Linked DNA regions of Cricetulus griseus. The main gene of each other region encodes a partner of the protein of the gene in region 3 in a complex. Links are inferred from orthologs where the notes say so. Each region holds a gene or a part of one and is shown on either strand. Other genes may lie near its edges. The genes, in order: Zmynd8, Asf1b and histone H3.3A.

Evidence for each region.
Region 1: the proteins of histone H3.3A (region 3) and Zmynd8 are in contact, whole or in part, in an NMR structure (PDB 7CWH), measured with the Homo sapiens proteins. The link is inferred for Cricetulus griseus from reciprocal best matches to the Homo sapiens genes H3-3A and ZMYND8. Residues at the interface, in NP_001365972.1 of Homo sapiens: Ser32, Val36, Lys37, Lys38, Pro39; in NP_001350670.1 of Homo sapiens: Asp84, Asn87, Asp88, Gly98, Gln99, Val100, Leu101, Leu117, Thr118, Ser119, Glu120, Glu122.
Region 2: the proteins of histone H3.3A (region 3) and Asf1b are in contact, whole or in part, in a crystal structure (PDB 7VCQ), measured with the Homo sapiens proteins. The link is inferred for Cricetulus griseus from reciprocal best matches to the Homo sapiens genes H3-3A and ASF1B. Residues at the interface, in NP_001365972.1 of Homo sapiens: Asp107, Leu110, Cys111, His114, Ala115, Lys116, Arg117, Lys123, Asp124, Gln126, Leu127, Ala128, Arg130, Ile131, Arg132, Gly133; in NP_060624.1 of Homo sapiens: Ile43, Val45, Ala48, Glu49, Glu51, Asp54, Thr87, Asp88, Val92, Thr93, Val94, Leu96, Arg108, Gly110, Tyr111, Tyr112, Val113, Asn114, Glu116, Asn138, Ile139, Leu140, Asn143, Arg145, Thr147, Phe149.

The regions. Positions count from the first base shown.
Region 1 is NC_048599.1:13,536,207-13,539,947, forward strand, and holds the start of Zmynd8 (protein kinase C-binding protein 1), read left to right. Parts: upstream 1-1,525; 5' UTR 1,526-1,667; coding exon 1,668-1,681; intron 1,682-1,844; exon of another isoform or gene 1,845-1,962; intron 1,963-2,112; exon of another isoform or gene 2,113-2,131; intron 2,132-2,870; exon of another isoform or gene 2,871-2,939; intron 2,940-3,741. UniProt on the Homo sapiens protein: Chromatin reader that recognizes dual histone modifications such as histone H3.1 dimethylated at 'Lys-36' and histone H4 acetylated at 'Lys-16' (H3.1K36me2-H4K16ac) and histone H3 methylated at 'Lys-4' and histone H4 acetylated at 'Lys-14' (H3K4me1-H3K14ac).
Region 2 is NC_048596.1:160,459,784-160,463,524, forward strand, and holds the start of Asf1b (histone chaperone ASF1B), read right to left. Parts: upstream 2,171-3,741; 5' UTR 2,014-2,170; coding exon 1,905-2,013; intron 1,403-1,904; exon of another isoform or gene 1,362-1,402; intron 1,297-1,361; exon of another isoform or gene 1,261-1,296; coding exon of another isoform or gene 1,179-1,260; intron 1-1,178. UniProt on the Homo sapiens protein: Histone chaperone that facilitates histone deposition and histone exchange and removal during nucleosome assembly and disassembly. Cooperates with chromatin assembly factor 1 (CAF-1) to promote replication-dependent chromatin assembly.
Region 3 is NC_048598.1:13,474,902-13,478,642, forward strand, and holds the start of histone H3.3A, read left to right. Parts: upstream 1-1,000; 5' UTR 1,001-1,145; intron 1,146-2,699; 5' UTR 2,700-2,722; coding exon 2,723-2,850; intron 2,851-3,741. UniProt on the Homo sapiens protein: Variant histone H3 which replaces conventional H3 in a wide range of nucleosomes in active genes. Constitutes the predominant form of histone H3 in non-dividing cells and is incorporated into chromatin independently of DNA synthesis.

The DNA.
Region 1 (3,741 bases), on a different chromosome or scaffold from region 3:
TTAAGGTTCTTGTCTTTGCCCTTTCTACAGATGTAGATTTTAGGAAGGAACAGGCATCGGCCTCCCACCCAGCACTATTGAAACGAGTAGAATTATAAGCAGGTCTGAGAAACTAGTTAATATTTTACTGGGGAGCAGAGCCAGAGACCGGGGTAGTGGGGGGAATCGCCAAGTGTGAGGCTGTGTGTGAAGTCGCCGTTCCCTCTGCCTTAGGGGACAAAAAGAAGCAGTTCTCTGTGGAAATAAATTGAAGCAAGAACCCTTGCGAAGCCCAGGGGATTTGTCAGCCCACCAAACAGGGCCCAGTTCCTCCCCAGAACACACATACAGGAGCAATTATGGCCGAAAGGGCTAACCTGTGGGTGTGTAGGCCTGACTATAATGGAGGTTCTTGTTTCCTGGCCGGGTTTGACATCGTTCTCTGTCCCTCTGGATTTAAATGGCTTCTCAGACACTGCCTGTATGCCCTGGATTCAGAAGGTCCACGCCTCCTCGGGAAGCAGAGGCGAGACAGCAGTTAGCTAGCTCTCCCTCTTTCTTTCTGCATCTGCCTGGGAGAGCTGCAGCTGGTATTTTTCCACAGGCCTTTTCTGCAATCTCAGGGCCTAGTTTTTCCCAGAGAGGCCCAGAGTCCGAGAGAGGGTTAACAGGCAGGAAGCTGAAGGCATCACAGACTAATACGGAAGTCAGATTTTTGTTTAACTGACAGGTTTAGCAGGCCTCATTGGTGGGGGAGGGAGCTGGGAAAGGAGGGTCTGTATGTAGATGGAGGCCTGTGGCCTGCTAGCAACGCATTTGGCTTTTCTTAGGGTAAGCCTGGAGTGGGTTCTCCCCTTGCCATCTTGACAGACAGACCCTTTTGGTTTTTCTTTGAGGACTGACGGGGGTGGTGAGAGGCTGTAGACTCCCAGCCTTGCAAATGGCTCTGTGGGCCTGCTTTCTCCAGCAGGCACTTTGACCATGACTAGGCAAACTTGATCACTCCTCCCCACAGCAGAGGCTCCTTTCACCTCCCGGGGACCTGGCTGCCCCTTGCTGATTTGTTGGGGGCCTCCCTTGGGCTGCCTGTTCCCCCCTCAGCCCCTCAGAGGCCTGCATCTGGCCTTGTCCCTCTTGCTCCTGTTTCCCCGGGGCTTTCCACCCCTCAGCTCGACTTTCTCCTTTGAGACCCACTCAAGCTGGCTTGTTCTAGGAAACGAGCTGTTTTCCTCCTTAGAAAACGACTTCTGCGTGGGGGCAGGTGTGGATGCGCCCTCCAGCCCACCCCAAAAGGGCTCTTCCCAGTGGCATCCTGGCCTCAGGCTTTGCTGGAGCAGGTCAGGCTGGCTGCACAGGTTTGCCAGGACCGGGGAATCTCGTCAGGGTGTGGGAGAAGTGCGTGCGGGGGCCCCTTTCCCAAGTTTTTCTTCCTGCAAAAGGCCTAGCTTGGCCTGTCTTTTTCTATGCACAGGATGGCTCTTGCTCACCCGAGCCTCACAAAGATAATCGCTCAGGAAGTGTTTCAGCCAATCCGCGGCGACTTTACACTCCGATTTGCCGGGGCAGCCAATCGGGGATGAGCTTTTATTAGGCGGCCAGATCATCAGCCGAAGTGCCAAACCCTTTTTCTGTGAGAACTAGGAGCCTGTCCTCCATGTTTTATAAGTATTGACATTACACAGTTAACAATGCATCCACAGAGGTAAGCTCGCCTTTTTAACCATCTTTTCCTCCCTTCCTCTGAGTCATCCGACTTGTGGACTAGCAGTGTGATTTCTCTGTAGCCTGGCTGTGCCACACTCATCCCCCCAGAGCACTTAGGCTAACTTGGGACTGTTTAGAGAGATTTTTTTTTTCCTTTCTTGGGTCACATGGCTAAGTAGCCATTAGCCATAGCTTGATTTTACAGCCTGGTGAGGGCCTGGGACACCTTTACTCTGACCAGGACATAGAATTTCTGCAATAGTTTGAAGCTAGATCCTGGTATGCCAAAAGAGTAGCTATTATTTTATTTCCCCTTCTTTTTTTCTTTTTTTTTTTCTCCCTTCCTCTCCTTGTCTCCCTGTCTCCCTCTCTGAACAGTCCCCCCCACCCCCACCCCTGCACTATTGTCTGCTCTGTCACATGCTTGCTGGGGGAAAGAAATTGGAAGGTAAGCCAGAAGGTCTTCTCCCAGCACTGTTCAGGACTGTGTGTGGCAGATAGCAGAGCAAGCAAGCCTGCTTCTCCAGAGAGGTTCTGGGAAAGGCTGGGCTAAGTTCTGACAAGACAGGATGTGTGTTTGTTTGCAACAGAACCCAGGCCTGAGCAAGAGCAGAGCTCAGAGAGCCAGGCTGGCTCCTGGGCCTAGGTGGGTGGTGGCGTGTGGACTCTCTCCTCTTCCTCTACAGGGCTTCGCACTTAACAGCTATGTTGTTCAGCCTTTTTCCCTGACTTAGCTTTGGTACAGAGTGTTCTTCAAGCCAGCCTACAGCCAGCAAATGGTTCTGAAAGTGTTTTCTAGCCTCTGAGGGAGTTTGTGGAGTAGGGATGGTGCCTGGGGGGTGGGGTGGGGGTGGGGATGGGGAGAGATTTTGAATAACATCCTGCAGGAAAAAAAACCCTGGGAGGACTCTGACTCCTTTAGCTTTCTACTTTTGCATGCTTTTCCATGGGCTAATGTTTCATTTATCCTTGTTTTCTTCCCCTCTTCTTTTTTTTTTTTTAAACATTATATCATCTTCTGGCCTCAGTGATAGAGTGTGGAGGTCATAAGATCATACCTGAGGCTCATGACAGCATCTCATACCCAGCTACTGGGTTGTGTGGTGGTGGTGGTGGTGGTGGTGGTGGTGGAGGTTTTTAATAATACCATGTAACTGTTTACAAAAAAATTTTCCTTTCTGATCAAGTCCCAAACGTGCCAGCTTGTTCTCTCTTCCTAACTGGAAAAGTGAGACGGTTGCTTGAACGTATGTTGGGTAAGTAAAGCAATCCATCTCTGGCTGTGTAGCAAGAGTTCGGTGAACATTTGGGGTCTGTTGTAATGGGGGAGGTGGCTTCTAAAGAGTGTCTTGAGTTTAGGTGATGGCTTGAATCCACTGTTGTTCCTGCTAACCTGCAGTTAGGACTGAAGATCTCACTTCCTGTTTACCCTCAGCTGGGGAGGAATTGCTGGGTCCATTGTGACTTGCAGCTAGACCTTGAATTGTGTCTGGCCCTTCTGAACTCTGGGTAGGTGATCTGCTAGTGAAATGGGAACAAAACTGTTTGTTCTCAGGGGTTCCAGAGCCCTACACACAGGGTATGTGCCTGTGTGTGTGTGTGTGCCTTGTGTTGTCGTATATAAGTTTTACGGTGTTTACATCTGGTGTAGAATCCTAGCCACTCCCAAACTAGGATTGGTTTAGGGCTCACTGACCACTAGTTTTAGCTTCTTTTCCCCCACGCCTGGTCCACACTTTTGTGCATGTTGGCTTTTAAGGGTGCAGCTCGAATTTTAAAGTGACAGAAGTCAACTTTCTCTTAGCATTTATCTTCAAGGTCTGCCTGGAAGCTCACAACGCATATTTTCAGCTTTGAGATCCAGCCAGTTTGCATGGAAGTGCTGCCTGTGTTCAGAGGTGGTCTTAGGCCAACTTCACAGACTCACTAATCTTTTTCTTTTAGTGTTCAAGCAACTCAACCTTTGACATCAGTTGAAAAAGGTTCATTTAGTAAAGAGATACAGACTGAATTATGGACTGGGCAGTCTGTGTGAGGCAGGCAAGCATCTCTGAAGTC
Region 2 (3,741 bases), on a different chromosome or scaffold from region 3:
AAGAGCACACTCAGGCTGATTGAAACCTGCTCTCTCAGCATCTGGGAACTGTGATTCCATTGATTTATGTCTCCTCTTGGCTTCCAAATAAATCTTATCCCACATTGTTACCCTATATTTTATTTATTTACACCCTACCTTGTTCCAGCAAGGATTTAACCCAGCTTTATTCTATAGTTAAGCCACAAGTAGATTCCTTTAAACTTAAGGAGAAACTAGGGAGAGGATCAGCCAGTGGCCCACCCCAAGCACACATTATAGCAGCTCCAGGTGAACAGAAGTGGCTGGATTTGTCTGAACACCAACCACAGCCACCAAGAGGCACTAGTTTTCACAACCTAGCCTCTCAGAGCTCCACCTCCTCAGCTGCTACATCTTTCAACCCTCAGTAGGAAAATGAGGAGTGTTTCCTCCTAAAAGCAGGACTTGCCTAGTGTTAATATTTTGTTTATGATCTAACAAATAAAGCTTGCCTGAAGATCAGAGTGCAAAGCTAGCCACACTAGCTAGCCATAGAGGCCAGGCAGTGGTGGTACACACCTTTAATCCCAGCACTTGGGATACAGAAGCAGACAGAGCTCTGTTAGTTCGAGGCCACCTGAGCTACACAAAATTGAGCCAGTCTGAAAGAGAAACAGAGCTCAAAGAAAGGTGATCTCAGCACTTGGGATCCTATACCTTTAATCCCATCAATAGAGAGGACTATAAGGCGGGAGGAGACAAGGATGTGCAGTCTGAGGCAGTCTGAGCAGCAGTACAGTCTGGACATGCAATCTAAGGACAGGATCACCCTTTCTGTCTGAGGTAGAGGTAAGAGCTAGTGGCTGGCTACTTTGCTTCTCTGATCTTCAGCTTTAACCCCAATATCTGTCTCTGGGTTTTTATTAAACATGCTACACATTGCCTTGCTGTGGAGCTGAGACTACAAAGTGACCTCATGGTTAATGTGTTCACAGACTTATTTCAAAGGTCTTTTGGTCTTTGTGGCCCTTGTCCTGTCATCTAACAGCCACGTCCACCTTTATGTCCTGCAGATGAATGAAGTCATTCTGTGAAAGATTCACAAAGGCCAGCGGTCTCTCTCCCCAGCTGACTGAAGTTGAATCCCATCCCTGTTTGGTCAGTCACCCCCCACCACCACCAGGTCAGCCCATCAAAAGGAAGGAGGGATTCCTTACACTGAGTCTGCTGGAAGCTGGTAGAAATCCCAAAACTGGCAGAGGCCTGCCTGGCTGTAGCACCCCTTTCCCGAGTGTTCATCCAATCCCAGACCAGGAGCTGGGGAGGCCAAGTTATCTACAAAGAGCCAGAAGACCCCATCCCTCCCCGGGGGAAGGTCATGCATAGGATATGGTACTAACCTAAAGAGAGGCCCCGGTCTGGACAACAGCCATGACGTTACAGTTGGCTAGGAGGAGTTGCTAGGGACAAATGTGGAGATGTCTGGGGATGGTATCGATGGGAGACAAATGGGGTGGAAGAGGTCTTGCCATGGGCAGACAGGGTAGCAAGAGGAGGGTCTGCTGGTCTGTAGAAAAGCCGTCCATAAGGAAAATGGGGGAGGGTACTGGAGGTTGGGTTTCCATGGAAGAGAGAATAGATGGGAGGTTTTCTATGGGGAAATAGGCATGAAAATGGAGTCTAGCCATTGGGAAGAAGGCGTAGCCGCGGTCTCTTACACGCTAGATGGAGGCTTACACCACTACAAAGAAAAGGTGCCAAGGACAAGTGGTTCAGGACGAGGGGTGCCTCCACGAGACAGTGCAGGTTACCGTGCACTGGATCCTATCCACCGAGTTGGACCACGGAGGCTTATCTCTGAGTGGAGAAGTTCCCGGGGAGGCTGGGAGTGGCAAAAATGAGGGCAAGAGGGTTTGGGGTCCCCTGCACAGGCCCAGCCTCACCGTCAGACAGGGCCTCACTGCATTCGAAGCTGATCTCGAACCGGAAGGGGCTGTGGAAAGGGCTCGGGTTCTCCAGGACAGCCACGTTCAGCACCGACACCTTGGCCATCACCTCGCCAGGGGGTCACAGCTGCAGTGGAGCCTTCTCCGGTGTCCTGCGCAGCCAATGGCGGCTGGGGAAGAGGAGGTCGCCGAGGCAGAGAACCTCTCAGCGACTCCAACTCTTCTCTAAAGAGCGTCTCGCGTCCGCGCGCGGCCTTCAAATAGCTGACTCCACCCTCCAGCCAATCGCCGCTAAGGATCTATGACGGCGCGAGAGCCCCGCCAGCCAATCCTGAGGCTTCTTCCGGTTTGCGCCTCGACCCGCGGACCAATCAGAGAAGCTTCCTCTTCACGGTCCGCGGGAGGCGGAACGATCATCTTTTAGCTTCGCAAAGTGTCCATCCGGAACCAATCCCTAGCGTCTCCGACTCGAATATCTTGCGCCGGGGTGGGCGGAGTTAGAGCGCGGAACTTCTCTTGTCCAATCCCAAGGGTTACCGCATCGGCGTGACCCGCCCCCTCATTCTGCTCTTCCGGTAGGCACACCCCACAGAGAGCAGAGCCACTAACGGCCGAACGGTGGCGCGCGACTCTTACTTAAGAGCGCTGAAAGAAGGGAGCCAGAACTCGCCGTGATTGACTAGCGACCACGGGGCGGGGCTTCAGTAGGCTTCTGAGATGTGATTGGCTAATGTCGCGGCACAAGGAGGGCTGCGCTGGAAGCCGCCCTCCGGCTCAGTGAAAAGCATGAAGAGGCAAGCGTGATGGCGGCGCTCTGGCCTCCGTTTGTCCGCTGGTGAGCGTTTCCGGGAGCTCCTCTGAGGGACTCCTGGCCTTGAGGACAGCGGCCGTGAACATTTGGAGCACCCCTGAGACAAGATGGCGCGGCAGCGAGTGGGGACCCAGGATGGAGTCCCGGTCCGAAAGGAGTTGAAGTTCGTCGACGTACCAGGGTTTGGATCCTCTCTCCAGCCTGTTTTCCAACCGGTTGAAAAATTCACTGCGAAGGCCTGGGGTGGTGGCGCACTCCGGAGGCGGGGGCAGGCGGGTCTCTTGAGTTCGAGGACAGCCAGGGCTACATAGAGAAACCCTGTCTGGAAAAAACAAAAACAGAAGAAAGTTAACTGCCACTATTTATGACGATATAATGCGGTCTTCACTCCATGCCCCTCTGGCTCCCTAACCCTGCCACAGTCTCTTACACATACAACCAGTGAGAAATAATGCTAGCCACAGACCTTTTACTAATAAGTCTTTTAAAGGAAACAAAACAAAACGCCTGGAGTGCCGGTGTATATCCATTAATCCCAGCACTCAGGAGCCTGAGGTAGGCAGACGTCTGCGAGTTCAAGGCCTGCCTGGTTTACACAGTGATTTTGGGGAAGTAAATGAATAGATAAATTGGTTTTCACATTTGACCATCCTTAAAAGGCCAAGAAACGATGAGAGATTGATTTTAGTATTACATTTAACTCAATAGAACAAAAATGCTAATTTCAAACATTATCAGTATAAAAATGCTAATGAGCTATCCTGCATCCTTTTATTCAGTGAGAAATTTTTGGACTCCTGTACATGTTTTGAAGGGACCAGCTCCGTGTTTCGGCAGCCATAACAGCCTAGCACGTGCTTGCCTGACCTTGCCTTAGTCACTAAGAGGTCAGAAGCCTGCCTTGGGGCAAGGAACCAATCAGAAGTTAGCTGGTGGTGCTACGCTTTATGGCTCTGGGTGTGCTTTGTGGACAAGTGCACAACAATGACATAACAACCAGTTGACCAATCAACACAGGGCAAG
Region 3 (3,741 bases):
CGGCAAGCCCTGCGGCAGCTCTTCCTTAGTACCTGCCGTTTTCAGCCTCTTACAGCGACAGCCTTAAGCTGCTATGTCACAGTCTCCTTCCACAGCGATCTTCCGAGGAGGGTGAGGCCGCTCGCTGAGCGGCCCACTCGGGCTGGACCGGCAGCCGGGCCGTGCGCAGCGACAGCTGTGCTGCACATTGTTCCCGAGGCTCACAACACACAGCCATCTTGCATCAAGAACGGCGGCCCAGGCAGGAGCGGGTGAGCGCGGTGTCGCCGCCGCCGCCGTCGGGGAAGCAGCGCTGGCAGTGGCCGCCCCGCCTCTCCCGGGTAGAGTCCGCGACGGGCTTGTCCTCAGGCGATTTGGCCCGGCCCTCGGACGCGCCCGCGCCCCGCGCCCGCGCTAGGCGGGAAGCGAACCGCGGGGCCCCGCCCCTGCCGCGCGCAACGGGCGCGGCCCGAGAGTGGGCGCGGGCCTCGGGCTTCCACTCGCCGGCTTCCGGCTCGGGCGCCTCGTCCACCGGGCGCGGCGACCGCGGGGCCGCGGCCTTCTCCCCGCCCCACGCGGGCGGGCGCCTCGGGGACGCGCGCGGGGGCGGCGCCCCTCCCCCCGCAGGCCGGGCGCTGGCCCGCGGCCCGCCCTCCCATCCCCCACGGGCCCCCTCGGTACCCCCCCTTATCCCTCACCCCCCCACCCCCGGGAGCCGGGGCTCCGGGGGCTCCCCGTGGCGCTGGCCCCGGGCGGGGAGGGAAGCGAGCGCGGGCCGGGCCGGGGGCGGGCGGCGTCTCGGCGGGCCCCGCGGCCCCTCGGCGTGTCTTTTGTGTTTGTACACACCGCGAGAGGCGGCGGGAGCCGGGGGCGGGCGGCGCGCGGGGTGGGGGGGCGGGGGTGGAGGAGGAGCGAGCGCGCGCGCCAGCGAACGGGCGCGCGGGGGGAGGGGCGGGGGGCGGGCGCGCGGGCCCCGGGGCGGGGCCGAGCCTTCCCTCCATTGTGTGTGATTGGCTGGCGCGGCGCGGGGCGGGGCGGCGTGTGTGGGGGTAGCCTCGGTGTCAGCCATCTTTCAATTGTGTTCGCAGCCGTCGCCGCCGCCGCCGCCGCTCTCTAACGCCAGCGCCGCCTCTCGCTTGCCGAGCTCCAGCCGAAGGAGAAGGGGGGTAAGTTTCTCCGTCCGCCCGCTCTCCCGGAGCCGGGCCCCGTCCGCCGGCGCTGCCGTAGCGGGCCGCGGAGGGCCCCCGCAGCCCCTCGGGCTCGACCCTCAAACTTTTTGGCGCAGACACGGAGACGGGGAGCGAGTTTCCCTCTCCTCGGGCGGCGGCGGCGGCGGCGGCGGCGGCAGCTCTCCGTCTCCGCCTCAGCCCGGCGGCGGCCCCGCCGCGCCGCCTGCCGAGCCTGCTGGCCCTCCCGCGCCGCGGGCTCTCCTTTCTTCGGTGAAATCCCGCCCGCCGCCCCTTCCCGGGACCCCAGACCTTCACCAGGTCCCGCGCGAGCCCCTCAACTGCCGCCTGCGGGTCCCGGGCCGCAGTTTGTCGGGCGCGAAATGGGTAAAATCGCCGTCGCTTCCCGCCCCGGGCGAACTCGCTTTTTGCTGCCTCCCCACAGTTGTGGCTGAGCTTCACCATCTTGTCTCTCTTCTCTGGTCACCGACCATGTTTCTTTTCCCCCCCGTTTCTCTCTTCCCCATTTTAAAATGGAAGGAGGAAAAAAATCTTAAGCACCTTTTTTTTTATTTTTTTGCCTTTTTTGGAGGAAAAAAAAGGAAACTTGATGCATATGAAATTCGAAATAACGAAAAAAAGAACTTTTGCATTTGGGGGAGAGCGGCACGTGGCAGGGGATGGGGTATTTTTCGAAGGGTTTGCTGTTTGTGTCTTTGGAAGGGAGTCGGATACATTTTGCAATTGTTTCCATTTTGTGCTAGCCTTGGGGAGCCGAGTCGTTCGCTGCCGGCACGGGGCGCCCGGGCCGGGCCGGGCAGGGCAGGTCGGGGACCCGGGACCCGGGGACCCGGGGGAGGCAGAAGCAAAAGTTTATGTGGTGCTGGGGTGGGCCGGGCGGCCGGTGTCGAGCGCTAATTAAGACTGGGTGCGGGGCAGTCGGCTGGCATAGCGAAGCCCGGGAGGACGGGCTTTGTGGAATGCTCGCTGGCAATAGCTGTTGTTCTTGTCTTTCGAGACGCCTTTTTGTCAACATAACCGTAAAGATAGAAACCTCAAGAATGTTTACAGATATTTACAGCAATCCAACTGCCGAGCGCGAGGCGGGGGGCGCGAACGGGGGGGGGACGCTGGAACCTTTTTTCTTTTTTTCTTTCTTTTTTTTTTTTTTGGCTGTAATTTGACTCGACCTTTCTGTGGTTTGTGGCTTCTTTCGTTTGACTTGTTTGTGATCGAATGCTTGCAGGCATTTCTAATTTCTACTTTAATTAAAGAAATTGAATTAAAACCCATTGGGGTGGTCTCGCTGGTTTTGGCCGTTTGTCGCTTGGAATTGGCGTTATGAGTATTAATGCTGACAATTTTCCGGTTTGTTTTAAGTCGTATTTGGGTAGTAGACCTAACCTGCGCCCTTTCAAATTAATTATATAACAGCCTTTTTTTTTTCTCAGTAATGATAGGTTTCTGGGATTTTTTTTTTTTTTAGGGGGTGGCTTCTGGCAAGAAAATGTATGTTTTAGTTGAATATGATTTTTTTTTTTTTAATACTGGTAGGTAAGTAAGGAGGTGCTCTTACCATGGCTCGTACAAAGCAGACTGCCCGCAAATCCACCGGTGGTAAAGCACCCAGGAAACAACTGGCTACAAAAGCCGCTCGCAAGAGTGCGCCCTCTACTGGAGGGGTGAAAAAACCTCATCGTTACAGGTATTTATAAAAGGGGGAGGAATAGGACAGTGTCTAAACAGTATGTCCATGTAATTTAACAGGAAGGTGAGGGAAAGATGTTTTCCTTCTGAATGTTTACTGCTGCTTGAAAATACACGTGCATATGTTCATTTATGAATACATGTAACTTAGTGTCAGGCTTTATTGATAACATTTTGAAGTTGTAATCTGATCTAAATTCTAAAGGGACGCGGTTCTCAACTGGTAGTAGGACACATTAACATTTTAACCATTAGCATTTTAAGTATGAAATGGTTTCATATGTGTATACAGGCACATAAAAATGGTTGTGTTTTTACACATACTTTTTGTTTTGGTTGACCCACACTTGTGGTAAAGTGTAGTACCTTAGGGAGACTAGTAAAGAAAGTCTCTTGGTCATAATTACTTGGGTTTTTCCCTCCTTTACTCCCTCATTTTATTTTTATGTAAGCACTGTTGTTAAGGACATCTGCCATTAGAGGGCATAAGTTGCCCAAATTTGCATAGACAGATTGTACAGTGAACAGCTCATAGAGTTGAAATAAGTCAAATTTAGGGGTTAAAGGATTTGTTTTCTCTCTTATCTTTCCCACTCTCTTCCCCCAATAAAGCTTCCCAAGTTAAAAAAAAAAAGTATTATAGACAATGACTTAATTTTAGAAAATTTTTCATGTGGGAGAAACAATGTGAAATCAAGTTTTCAAATTCAGTCATTCATGACTGGTGATACAATACTGGGAGATCAAATACGAGTGTTTTAAGTGAATCGTTGTAAATTATGTTGGTAACTCTTTTAGGACTTTAAAACCTAAGGCACAGATGGGGCAACAGAAAGTGTTGCTTAAACTGGGAAGATGTCTTTATTGCCAGCCTAACTTCGAATATGCT